Danio rerio: one gene and its partners. The protein of the gene in region 1 interacts with the protein of each later gene in a biochemical or structural test. Links are inferred from orthologs where the notes say so. Each region holds a gene or a part of one and is shown on either strand. Other genes may lie near its edges. The genes, in order: atf3, jun and jund.

What was found.
Region 2: the proteins of atf3 (region 1) and jun form a complex in vitro, tested with the Homo sapiens proteins (2 studies listed by BioGRID and IntAct, with this or other methods). The link is inferred for Danio rerio from reciprocal best matches to the Homo sapiens genes ATF3 and JUN.
Region 3: the proteins of atf3 (region 1) and jund form a complex in vitro, tested with the Homo sapiens proteins (2 studies listed by BioGRID and IntAct, with this or other methods). The link is inferred for Danio rerio from reciprocal best matches to the Homo sapiens genes ATF3 and JUND.

The regions. Positions count from the first base shown.
Region 1 is NC_133195.1:41,075,743-41,080,074, forward strand, and holds the start of atf3 (cyclic AMP-dependent transcription factor ATF-3), read left to right. Parts: upstream 1-1,481; 5' UTR 1,482-1,572; intron 1,573-3,446; 5' UTR 3,447-3,454; coding exon 3,455-3,697; intron 3,698-3,844; coding exon of another isoform or gene 3,845-3,885; coding exon 3,886-3,993; intron 3,994-4,332.
Region 2 is NC_133195.1:16,778,362-16,782,267, forward strand, and holds jun (transcription factor Jun), read left to right. Parts: upstream 1-1,513; 5' UTR 1,514-1,782; coding exon 1,783-2,709; 3' UTR 2,710-3,373; downstream 3,374-3,906. UniProt on the Homo sapiens protein: Transcription factor that recognizes and binds to the AP-1 consensus motif 5'-TGA[GC]TCA-3'.
Region 3 is NC_133177.1:59,460,500-59,463,470, forward strand, and holds jund (transcription factor JunD), read right to left. Parts: upstream 1,532-2,971; 5' UTR 1,386-1,531; coding exon 534-1,385; downstream 1-533. UniProt on the Homo sapiens protein: Transcription factor binding AP-1 sites.

The DNA of each region.
Region 1 (4,332 bases):
TTGGTAACATTATTTAGTGTCCAAGCACAAATGTATGTAATAAAGGAGTGTTTTATTGGTGATTGCACCAGGACGGTGAGGAGAGATTACTGGAAATTTCCAGAACACATAGGAAAGAGTGTGGACTGGGCTGTGTAATAATGAACAGCTACGGCAAGAAAGCTGTGCTTCACATTGAAAAGAGGAATGCAGACACTGCTGACGACCCACTCCCTTAAAACATCACCAAATCACTGCGTTAAATATTGAATTGAAAGGAAAGTGAAATAGAAAAACATGAGAAAGATAACAAGCCTATCACTAATTTTACTATATATTTATTAAGCAAACTTTTATTTTATAGTGTTTTGTTACATATTAGATGTACCAAAACTAATTAAGAAAAAAACTTACTCATATCCACCAACTTATTAGTTTAGACAGACAGACAGACAGACAGACAGACAGACAGACAGACAGACAGACAGACAGACAGACAGACAGACAGACAGACAGACAGACAGACAGACAGACAGACAGACAGACAGACAGACAGACAGACAGACAGACAGATAGATAGATAGATAGATAGATAGATAGATAATATTTATAGATAGATTTGTTTTAGTGTTCTTTTTAGACAGAATATGCCTAAAAATAAATTAAATGCATAATTATTTGCAAATAAAATGAACCTTAAATTAATTTTACTCAGTACTTGATATAATGTATAATTAAAAGTAACAAGGATGCTCAAATAAAGTGTAATAAATCGAATTAAACTTTTAAAGTTGAATACACTCAAATATTCAACCCTCTAAAAACTGAAAACCTCTAAATGTCATGTTACAATATTACATAACAATAATTAAATTATTATTAAATGATAAAATCCTAAATTCAGTCAGAAACAAACCAACTAAATTCAAACGCCATAAAAGATATTCAAAGCTGTTTTTTCCCTGAGCCAGTGGACATTTAAAACCAAATTTAAAGCTTTTAAAAAAACAGCCATATACACACTGACCTTGGCTTCATCTCTCCATCTCTTCATAAAAATACTAATAAAAAAAAGACATAAACAAGAAAACATAGGCTAAGTGTTTTTAACTTAACAGACCAAGAGGGATTTTATATGCTCTCTTTCAAACCAAGCAGACAGTCTGTCAGTCAGTCAGTCAAACTCTCTCTCTTTCTCATATCTCTTTTTTCAAAACTATTCGGCACATGACATTAGAGCATACCAGAGATGGCCTGTCATTACACGAGTATATGTCTTTATTTGCTCATTAGGTTAACATGCCAGCTCGTCAGCTTCACTATTGTGAGGGAGGGCGGGAGTTTGCCCAGTTATGGTGCGCGGCGGAGAGGGTTGCCTGATTGCATCATCGCGAAAGGACAGCGCCGCTGATGCTATAAATAGGGTGACGTCACTCGCCCCGCCCCTAGTAGTAGTTCACGTCCTCCAGCCATAAAAAGGGGTGATGCAACGAGCCGGCGACAACTGTAACTTTAGCAGCTGAGCGCGAGAACAGTCCGGCATCAGGAGAGCATCACAAACACACGCGCCTACATTTATTTACACACAACCAGGTAAGAGACGGCATTGTAGATTTCCTATTCATCGCTATTCTGGAACACGCTGTGGGAAAACGTCTATGGTGTGCTTGGTTTGGGCTACTAAAGGGAGATTTTTGCGTTTATGGGTCAAGCGATTGTATTTAGGTTTGAGTTAACGAACTCTTTTTTAACGAACTTTTATTTAGCTATAATGTATGTGCATTACTGTTTTTTTGCGTTAATATTTGTTCGATATTTATTAAAATTGGATTAAAACTGATTGATTTAAGTTCTCCTGTTTTCAAATTGTTTAACCGACAATGTTACGTCAGTAAGTTTACTTCATCGACAATGTGTAACACGAATACAACTCATGAAATAGTTAAAGATTATGATTTCATATAGCCTACTCTGTATTGAAAACCTGTCACTTAAATGTTAAAATATTAGGACTAATAAGGTTCTTAATCAATATTTGATGGTTTAGATTATTCTGTTTGCGAGTTGTTACTGTAGGCTATAATGTATTTGTACAGTAGTACACATACATTAGCAAAACGTTTGTTGAAATGAATGTTTATGACAAAAAAAAGCGATAGCATACTGTATAAAGAGAGCAAAACGTCTATAATACGTCATTGTAAAAGCAAAATATTGACAGCTGTGGTAGCCAGAACCTATGAAAACCCCTATAAATACTGTAATAATGTAACGAGTAAGATTGCACTTTAATAATTGTAAGTTGTACAGTTTCTATCTATAATTGAATGGTAACGTTAATGTTTATTTACATTATTTATTCCTTTAAAAAGGATTAAAACCGATTGATACGAATACAACTCATTAAATAGTTAAAGATTATAACTTTACTATTTTACACTGTACTACAAACCTGTCAGTCAAATGTTTAAAATATTATTATTAATATGAAATTGTTCATTAATATTTGATGGGTTTAGATTATTCTGTTAGCTAGTCGTTACTTTATGTATTCCTGTCTAGTCATACACATAAAATAACAAAAAAGTGTGTTAAAATGAGTGTTTATGACAAAAAAAGCGATATACTGTGTAAAGAGAGTAAAACATCTATAATACGTCACTGTAAAAAAATATATATATATTGACAGCTGTGGAAGCTGGGAGCTTTTAAATTACGGTTGTCATTGTAAGATTGATTGAGAATGACATGTGGTAAAAATTGTTAGCCAAATTACTTTCTGCTCATGATATCTAGCCTTTTATTAGCCAGTTGTGTCTGTATAATATAATATAATATAATATAATATAATATAATATAATATAATATAATATAATATAATATAATATAAAAACTTTAAAAACATAAACCATAAACGTAACATAACAAAATTTAACAACACAAGAACTTGTGACTACAATATTCTCCCTTAATCAAAACTTTATCACTTTAAAATCTCTTATTACTTAAAATCACTTATCACTTTAAAATGCATATCATTTAATGAATTTAATATTATATTAATCACCTTGTTAAATGTAATATTTATATAAATATCATAAATGACAATAATATTTAACAAGGAATATATATTTTAATTACAATAACTGTATAACTATTGTTTATATAGTTTATTATTATTAACAAATTATAACTGATGGTATATAATTATAACATTATGCAATTAAACACTTTTATTTCTAAAATACAATATTTAATGATCATTTTTAAATGTTGTTTTTGTTACAATTTAATTAATGGGTCTTACTCTATAAATCTGATGTTCTTAATCATTTTCTAACTATAACACAGTTATTTCAGTAGTTTTATAGAGAAAGGTGTAACATTTTTACTTGTTTATTTATTTATCTATCTTACCATTTTCCTCGTTAACATCATGATTTAACTGTTGTTTTGTATTTTTTTAGATTTCGGCATGATGCTTCAGCACCCTGGTTTGGGTCCGTCAGAGATCAGTGCATCAGCTTTGGTTCCCTGTCTCTCTCCGCCCGGCTCCCTCACGCTGGACGACTTCACAAACTTCACTCCATTAGTGAAAGAGGAGCTGCGCTACGCCATCCAGAACAAACGCATGTCCAACGGCATGAGCACCCTGACCACTGACAGAGCCTGCATGAACACTGAGAGACCCACCGAACTACCTGGGATGAAGCGAGAGGTAAGACCCACTCATTTACTGGCACAAATGTTTTTTTTTTTTTTAAGTGTAATTTCTCATATTTCACATTGGTTATATTGAGTAACGTGGACGTAGAAAAGCCATGCTTGCACAATTCACTTGTTCATCCACTTGTGGGCATTTTAGGTAGTTTGGCTTTCCCAAATTGTTAGATGTTGTTATTTCAGGCTGTCCCAGAGGAGAACGACCGAAGGAAAAGAAGAAGGGAAAGAAACAAAATTGCAGCAGCAAAATGTCGGAACAAGAAAAAGGAGAAAACCGATAATTTACAAAAGGTATTACTTGTTATTTAGCATTTGATTAAAAAACGTAACATTTATATGAACATATATTATATCTGTTATTTTTTATTATTGATCTTTTTTGCTATTTTTAACTGTATTTGATTACATTATATCTATTACATCTACAGTTGAAGTCAGAATTATTAGGCCCCTTTAATTAATTAATGTTTTTTTAATTTTACAAATGATGTTTAACAGAGCAAGGAAATTTTTACTGTATGTCTGATAGTATTTTTTCTTCTGGAAAAAGTCTTATTTGTTTTATTTTGAGTAGAATAAAAGCATTTTTAATTTTTAAAAAAAACATTTTTAAGGTCAAAATTATTAGCC
Region 2 (3,906 bases), about 24 Mb from region 1:
ATAGGTTGTTAAACAGTGTATAAAGTCCATATTTTGTATCCAGTGGCACTGTGCTCGAGTGTTTGATCTGTTGTAACAAAGTGAAACATGTCAGAGACCATCAATAAGTGCTAGAGTAACAGTAACACAAAAAAACTGTCTTCTCTTTACTTTGACCTATATGCTATAAAACAGTAGAATCAACCATATTTTAATGTACTCATAACAAAAACTAATTAATAAAATAAACAATAATAAAAACGACCATTCTTGCAAATGTCCATCTCAACATTACCTGTATATTTATCTTACTAATGTTGTTATAAATACAAATAAACTAGCTATTGTGTCTTTACATACGTTTAAGCAACGTCAGTAAAAATCTCAGAAAGTAAACTGAAACGTCACTTGTCAGCTGTCACGCTATATTCGATCAGTTTGTGGTTGTGGTTGACGCAGTGACGTTTAACAGGGTTGTTTGCACTTTTGAGAGGATCTCTAGGGACTGTCACGGATACGGCGGCTGGACTTTGTGGCACGCTGTCACTCCACAATAAGAAACGCCCCCATTTTTAGACCATTGGCTGACGGAGCAAATGCACTTTGGCATAAAAAAGCAGACTATAGCCCTGTTTCTTCGTGCCAGATTAAATTATGTATGCCTGTATAACACTGAGGTTTTTAAACTAGGGTTCGGGGACCCCCAGGGGGCCAACAAGGGAGTGCTGGAAGTGAAGAAGAGTAAAATTAGCAAATACTAATTAATTCATAATATATTTCAACGACTGATTAAAAAAAAATACTTTTAATCAGCTAATCTAACATTATATTCAAACAAAATGAGTAACATCAAGTTATGCTTATTTAATTTATTATTTCAGAAGGCATTTCTTCTATTTTTTTTTCGTTTTAAATCTCCCTCAACATTTTATTGTAAGGTTGGAAATTAGTTTCACTGACTCCAAACTGTATTTCTAATATATATTTTTTACCTTACTGATGTATATGCAATACATTAAACTGGATCCAGAGAGTGTTTGGAACTTGCTGTTGTTAAAGAATGGCCGCGTCTTGCGAAACTCGCGCAAGAATTGGTCAACTCTCAAACATACAGCGGCACACATTTATTCTGCCTCTTCTTCTCAAACTTATAGTAAAGTTTAAGTTCTAAAAGTGGCGCGTTGTACATTACTCTGCTTCTTTGTATCCCGCCACGGTCTAAAACAGCTAAGCGGGTAACCAGATATTCAAAAACAATACGTAATCCCACAATGCACTGCTTTACAGCATTACCTCATCCCATCAGGCACCGCGAGTAGAATCTTCTGGGTGGTCGTCTAGGCAACGCGCCTTATCTGAAATTGTGACACGCCCAGTAAAACGCCTCCAGCCAATGAGAGGCTGCGCGCATTACATCATTTCTATTTTTAGTGGGGCAGCGGTAGCAGATAAGGTTTGCCTCCACGCTGGAGAAGCTCAGAGTATACAGACCTCGCCACAGTGAAACACCTCACTCAAACCAACATAAATAAGCCTTCGGCTAAGCACTGTTTATCTGCTGGTGTCTGAGAAGCGCGACAGCGGCGGAGGAAGAACTTTCTATCCGCGGAAGGCAGGAGGAGACGAGCCCGTGACACTGGCGATAACTTTACGCAGTAAGTTTCTCGCGGGACGGGGAGTTGAGGAACTTTTCCAATCCTCTCGCTTTTGTTCCAAACACCGCAGCGCTCGTTACTGAACGCGGACAGTGCTTAACAGCGCCTAAAAGACTGCTTCTGAACTAAAAGTTTCGCTTTGCCTTCTATGTCTACCAAGATGGAAACTACTTTCTACGATGACTCTCTAAACAGCGCTTTCTCTCAGCATGACAGCGCCACTTTTGGATACAACCACAAGGCTCTGAAACACAACATGACGCTCAATCTGTCCGACCCCGCGGGGAACCTAAAGCCCCACCTGAGGGCCAAAGCCAGCGATATCCTCACTTCTCCCGACGTGGGACTTCTCAAACTGGCATCACCGGAGCTGGAGAGGCTCATCATCCAGTCTAGCAACGGCATGATCACCACGACGCCAACTCCGACCCAGTTTCTGTGTCCCAAGAACGTGACGGATGAGCAGGAGGGGTTCGCGGAGGGCTTTGTGAGGGCACTGGCTGAGCTGCACCACCAGCACATGCCCAACGTCACCTCGGCTCCCCAAACTACTATCAACAGCAGCATGGCACCGGTCTCGTCCATAGCGGGCGGTGCGGTCTACAGCTCAGCCATGCGCGCTGATCCGCCGGTTTACGCGGATCTGAACACGTTCAACCCTGCTATCAGCAGCAGCTCGGCCAATCCAGCCGCGATGAGCTTCCCGAGCGCACCACCGCAGCTGCCCGTCCAGCACCCGCGCCTCCAGGCCCTGAAAGAGGAGCCCCAAACGGTGCCCGAGATGCCCGGCGAGACCCCACCGCTCTCTCCTATCGACATGGAGAGCCAGGAGCGGATTAAAGCCGAGAGGAAGCGCATGAGAAACAGAATCGCCGCGTCCAAATGCCGGAAGAGGAAACTGGAGAGGATCTCCCGGCTGGAGGACAAAGTCAAGACCCTGAAGTCGCAAAACTCGGAGCTCGCGTCCACCGCCAACATGCTGCGCGAGCAAGTGGCACAGCTCAAGCAGAAAGTCATGAACCACGTCAACAGCGGCTGCCAGCTCATGTTGACACAACAGCTGCAAACCTTCTGAGGAGAGCCGAAGGACATTTTGAGTTCAGCCACATAAACAAACTTCAGGGGCTTGATGTCTGCGATCTGGCGCGACAGAGCCCGCGGGGACCGGGACCGTCCGGCCGGCCGCGTGCCGTTAAAGGATGATCCGACTGGACTTTTGAGGAGCGCAAAACTTCACTCGGTCCGACAGAGACGCAGAGCGCATGAGACTCACTCTGTTACATGTTTTACTTTCTGACGAAATCCTTGTTCACATCGACCAGGTTGTGCATGGACCTATACGCTTCAAAGGAGCACTCAGTATTATAGGAGTAAAACAGAGACGCGACTGCCGTACAGTAGGGATACTGGCTCACCAAGCAGGACGTTGTGTCTGCTAAACTTTTGATAAAAAAGCTGCCTGACTTCTGAGCTACATATTGTACTTTTTTTGTTGTTCTTAAATTGAACGGAAATCGACTTTTTTCCTTTTGAGTTAGTCCAACTTAAGCAGTTTCTTTTTCTAAAAAAAAAGTTCATTAATGAGGTTTCACTCATTGTTATTTGTAAATATGATCAACCAGGAGTACTTAAGTTTACCATTTGTAAGTAAAGTACAATAATTTTTTATGTTTGTTTTCTGAGCACCTCAGAAACTAATCAATATTTATGAACTGTAATAAAGTATGTCAAATGAAAAACAATGTCTCTGTTGTCTTAATGGAAATGACGCTTGTGTGTGTATGTGTGTGTGTGTTCAAATTGACAAACATGTAATAACATGTTTTGGAAGAGACTGGCTGTTTTGTAAAGTCCACAGACAGGACTGGGAAAAAAGGGTGTCAAAAAACATCCTTACAGTAATTAAAAATAATAACATTATAAATACATGCTTAATTGCTAAAGGTTAAATGCAAACTTAATATAACATTTTTACATCAAAATAAAGCAGACACATAATTTGATTGACTCTTTAAATCAGTAATGCTGAAATTATCAAGTAATTATCACACAGTCAAGTACTAAATAGACCAATGCCTTTAATCATGGCCTCATTTTTGTGTCAACTGAAACAAAAGTTTATTAAGGTTAGTGTTAGCCTGCAAATATGTTAAAAAAAATTGTAGAAGTTGAAGATGTATACAAGTTTTAACAATTTAACCAGCAACAATGACTTAATATTAAATTAATAAATGGTTGAAATTTAAAAATACTCCTTATAACAATAGTGTGT
Region 3 (2,971 bases), on another chromosome or scaffold:
TTGTTCTATTGAAGTTTTCCTTCCAAAATGGCCGCCGCGCCATCTAGTGGCTGTTTCCCAAATTGCTTTAGAGTGTCGCCTCTTGGTGATTCTATGCTCTTTTTTAACAGTAGAGTTCGTTTTTATGATATACAAGCTTGTGGACACCAAATTCGCGTTTAGGAGCTATAAAACCGAATATAAAGCTTGTAGTTGGTCACCAAAATGGAGCAACGGTTTTATTCACGTCACCTCAAAATTCAGTTTCTCAACAAATCTTCCGACCAATCAAATACTCTCTAGTATCTGGCAAGCCCCGCCACCTTCAGTCGCTTCAAAACGCTATTGGCTGTTTCATAAAGGGGAGGAGCTACTCTTGGTTCCTCTTTCTTCATGTTTCGCGTCAAACATCGTATAAAAAACGCACACTTCAAAGCACTTCACGGGGACCTTTAACTCCTCGCGCGCTGTGGAAATGTGAATGTATCCAAACCCCAAACCTTAAAGTTTGTCAACCACCCAAACACTGACAGATCAAGGAGTTCTGGTGAGTGTTAGTACGCCTGCACGGTGTTCGGCAGGAGCTGGCAGCCGTTATTGACGTGGTTCATGACTCTCTGCTTCAGCTGCGCCACCTGCTCCCTCAGCACGCTGGCGGTGGACGCGAGCTCCGTGTTCTGGCTCTTCAGGGACTTCACTTTGTCCTCCAGGCGGGAAATCCGCTCCAGTTTCCGCTTGCGGCATTTGGAGGCGGCGATGCGGTTCCGGAGCTTCTTCCTCTCGGCTTTGATGCGCTCCTGCGTGTCCATGTCGATGGGGGAGAGCGGCGGGCTGTCGCCGAAGCTCTGCATGTCTGGTACCGTCTGCGGCTCGTCCTTCAGCGGCTGCGGCTGCGCGGACATCGGGTGCGCGGGCGGCGGCGGTGGGAACGGGATGGTGTCTGTGGAATAGTTCACCGTGGTGCTCCCGTACGTGCTCAAGTTCGTATACACGGGCAGATCCGCGTTTAAGGCGAGGCTGGTGCTGCTGTTAGCGAGTCTGTTGAGCGTCGGGGGAACGCACGGTCCGCCGTTCAGCTGGTTCTGCTTGTGGAGATCCTCCAGCGCTTTGACGAAACCCTCCGCGAACTCCTGTTCGTCGCTTACCGACTTCGGGTAGATGAACTGGGAGGTCGGTGTGGTGGTGACCATCCCGTTGGACTGAATAATCAGCCGCTCCAGCTCTGGTGAAGCCAGCTTAAGGAGCCCCAGATCCGGGGAGTTGAGTATTCCCTCAGCATCCCTCAGATCCGGCTTCAGACTCGAGCTGTTCTGGTCGTCCAGGTTCAAGCTCATATCTTTCTTCATCATAATTGTTCTCAGTATTCCGCGTATATCCTTGTTTATGCGAAGCAGACGTGTTCCCATCCTACACTCTCCTGCCGTGTAGCGTCGAGCTCTCCGAGCGACCCATCGCGACGAAAACACAAAACTATTCTTATTTAAATGACCTAGATTAGTTTTGATATCTTGCGATTTATGGCGTCGTTGTTTTTTATGGTGTTGTTTTCTCCGGAGCGCGAGAGAGATGTGTTATCCACGGGGCGTCAGTACGCATTTGCAAGTTTTCTATCCCTAAAAATTCCATTATGTCACTTCAGAGCGCTGAGATTGGCCAAAGATGACGTTTTCTTCCGGTTTGATTTGCATAAGGGGCCGCGTTCGCCCGTGTCGCCGTGGAGACGGGGAGTAAACGGCAAACAGTGCGGTGCATTGTGGGTTGATGTCATAGCGGACGTAAAACGCGCGAGGGTGGAGGAATAAAAAGCAGGCGCTGCGGGAGAAAATGTTCCCTCGTTTCTGAACATGTTGAAGGTCTTTGGATGCTTTGATCGAGTGTTCCGTGATGGGTTTTATCTAATGGAATAATCCACACGCTTAAAAACAAAGGTGACAGGAACAGCCTAAAATAGGTTATCACAGTAATGCCACAAAAGAACATCTTTTAATTCAAATAAGTACTTTGAAAAGTCTTTTTCTACTATAAAGATGAAAAGATAATGATGTTCATGGTGCTTCTATATGCAGGTGGTTTTGACATTTAATGTACCAGTACCAGTATCTGTTTTCATGTTAGGGGAGAGTGGGGACATTTTTTGCATTTCCTTCAATTTTTTTGTGGAAACCCAAAATTTTAATATGATAAACCCACATCAATCTGACACCCACCCACATTGCTATAATATGTGTTCATATGATATTATATGCAGAGCTTAAACGTGAACAGACAAAGTCAAATGTTGTAAATGACCCCGATCATAGGAACGGTTGTAACATTCATTAAAATGTGTATTGATAGAAAAAAATTCTAAAACATGTTGGATTTTATTTACTTTTTTGGTAAAAGAAAGTTTAATAACCAACCAACCACCCAACCAACAGTGTTTTCAAAAGCACCGATTGACCCGCCCACCCCCTTCCCTAAACCCAACCAACAGTGTTTTCAAAAGCACCGATTGACCCGCCCACCCCCTTCCCTAAACCCAACCAAAAGTGTTTTCAAAAGCACCGATTGACCCGCCCACCCCCTTCCCTAAACCCCCCAAAAAAAAAACTATTTTTTTTTTTACTGAAAATCGAGACTGAACCTTTACTAAACTACTTCTTTGAACTAGGGTTGGGCGATGTCAACCAATTTGGCATCGTAAAATGTCTAATGTGAAACATCGCGATGGATGATGGCATCATTGTCGTAGGTGGTGGTGAATTAATAATTCATAACGAATTAATCATTTGTACCCTACCTCATTTCAACTACCTGACCCACATGGTCTTTGTTTTACCCATAACCAAATCCTATATAAATAAAGATAAGTTACACATAAATTACCCAACCAATAGTGTTTTCAAAAGTATGAGTGATCCGCCCGCCCACCCCCTTCCCTCAACCCAAACAATAGTGTTTTCAAAAGCACCGATTGACCCGCCCACCCCCTTCCCTAAACCCAACCAAA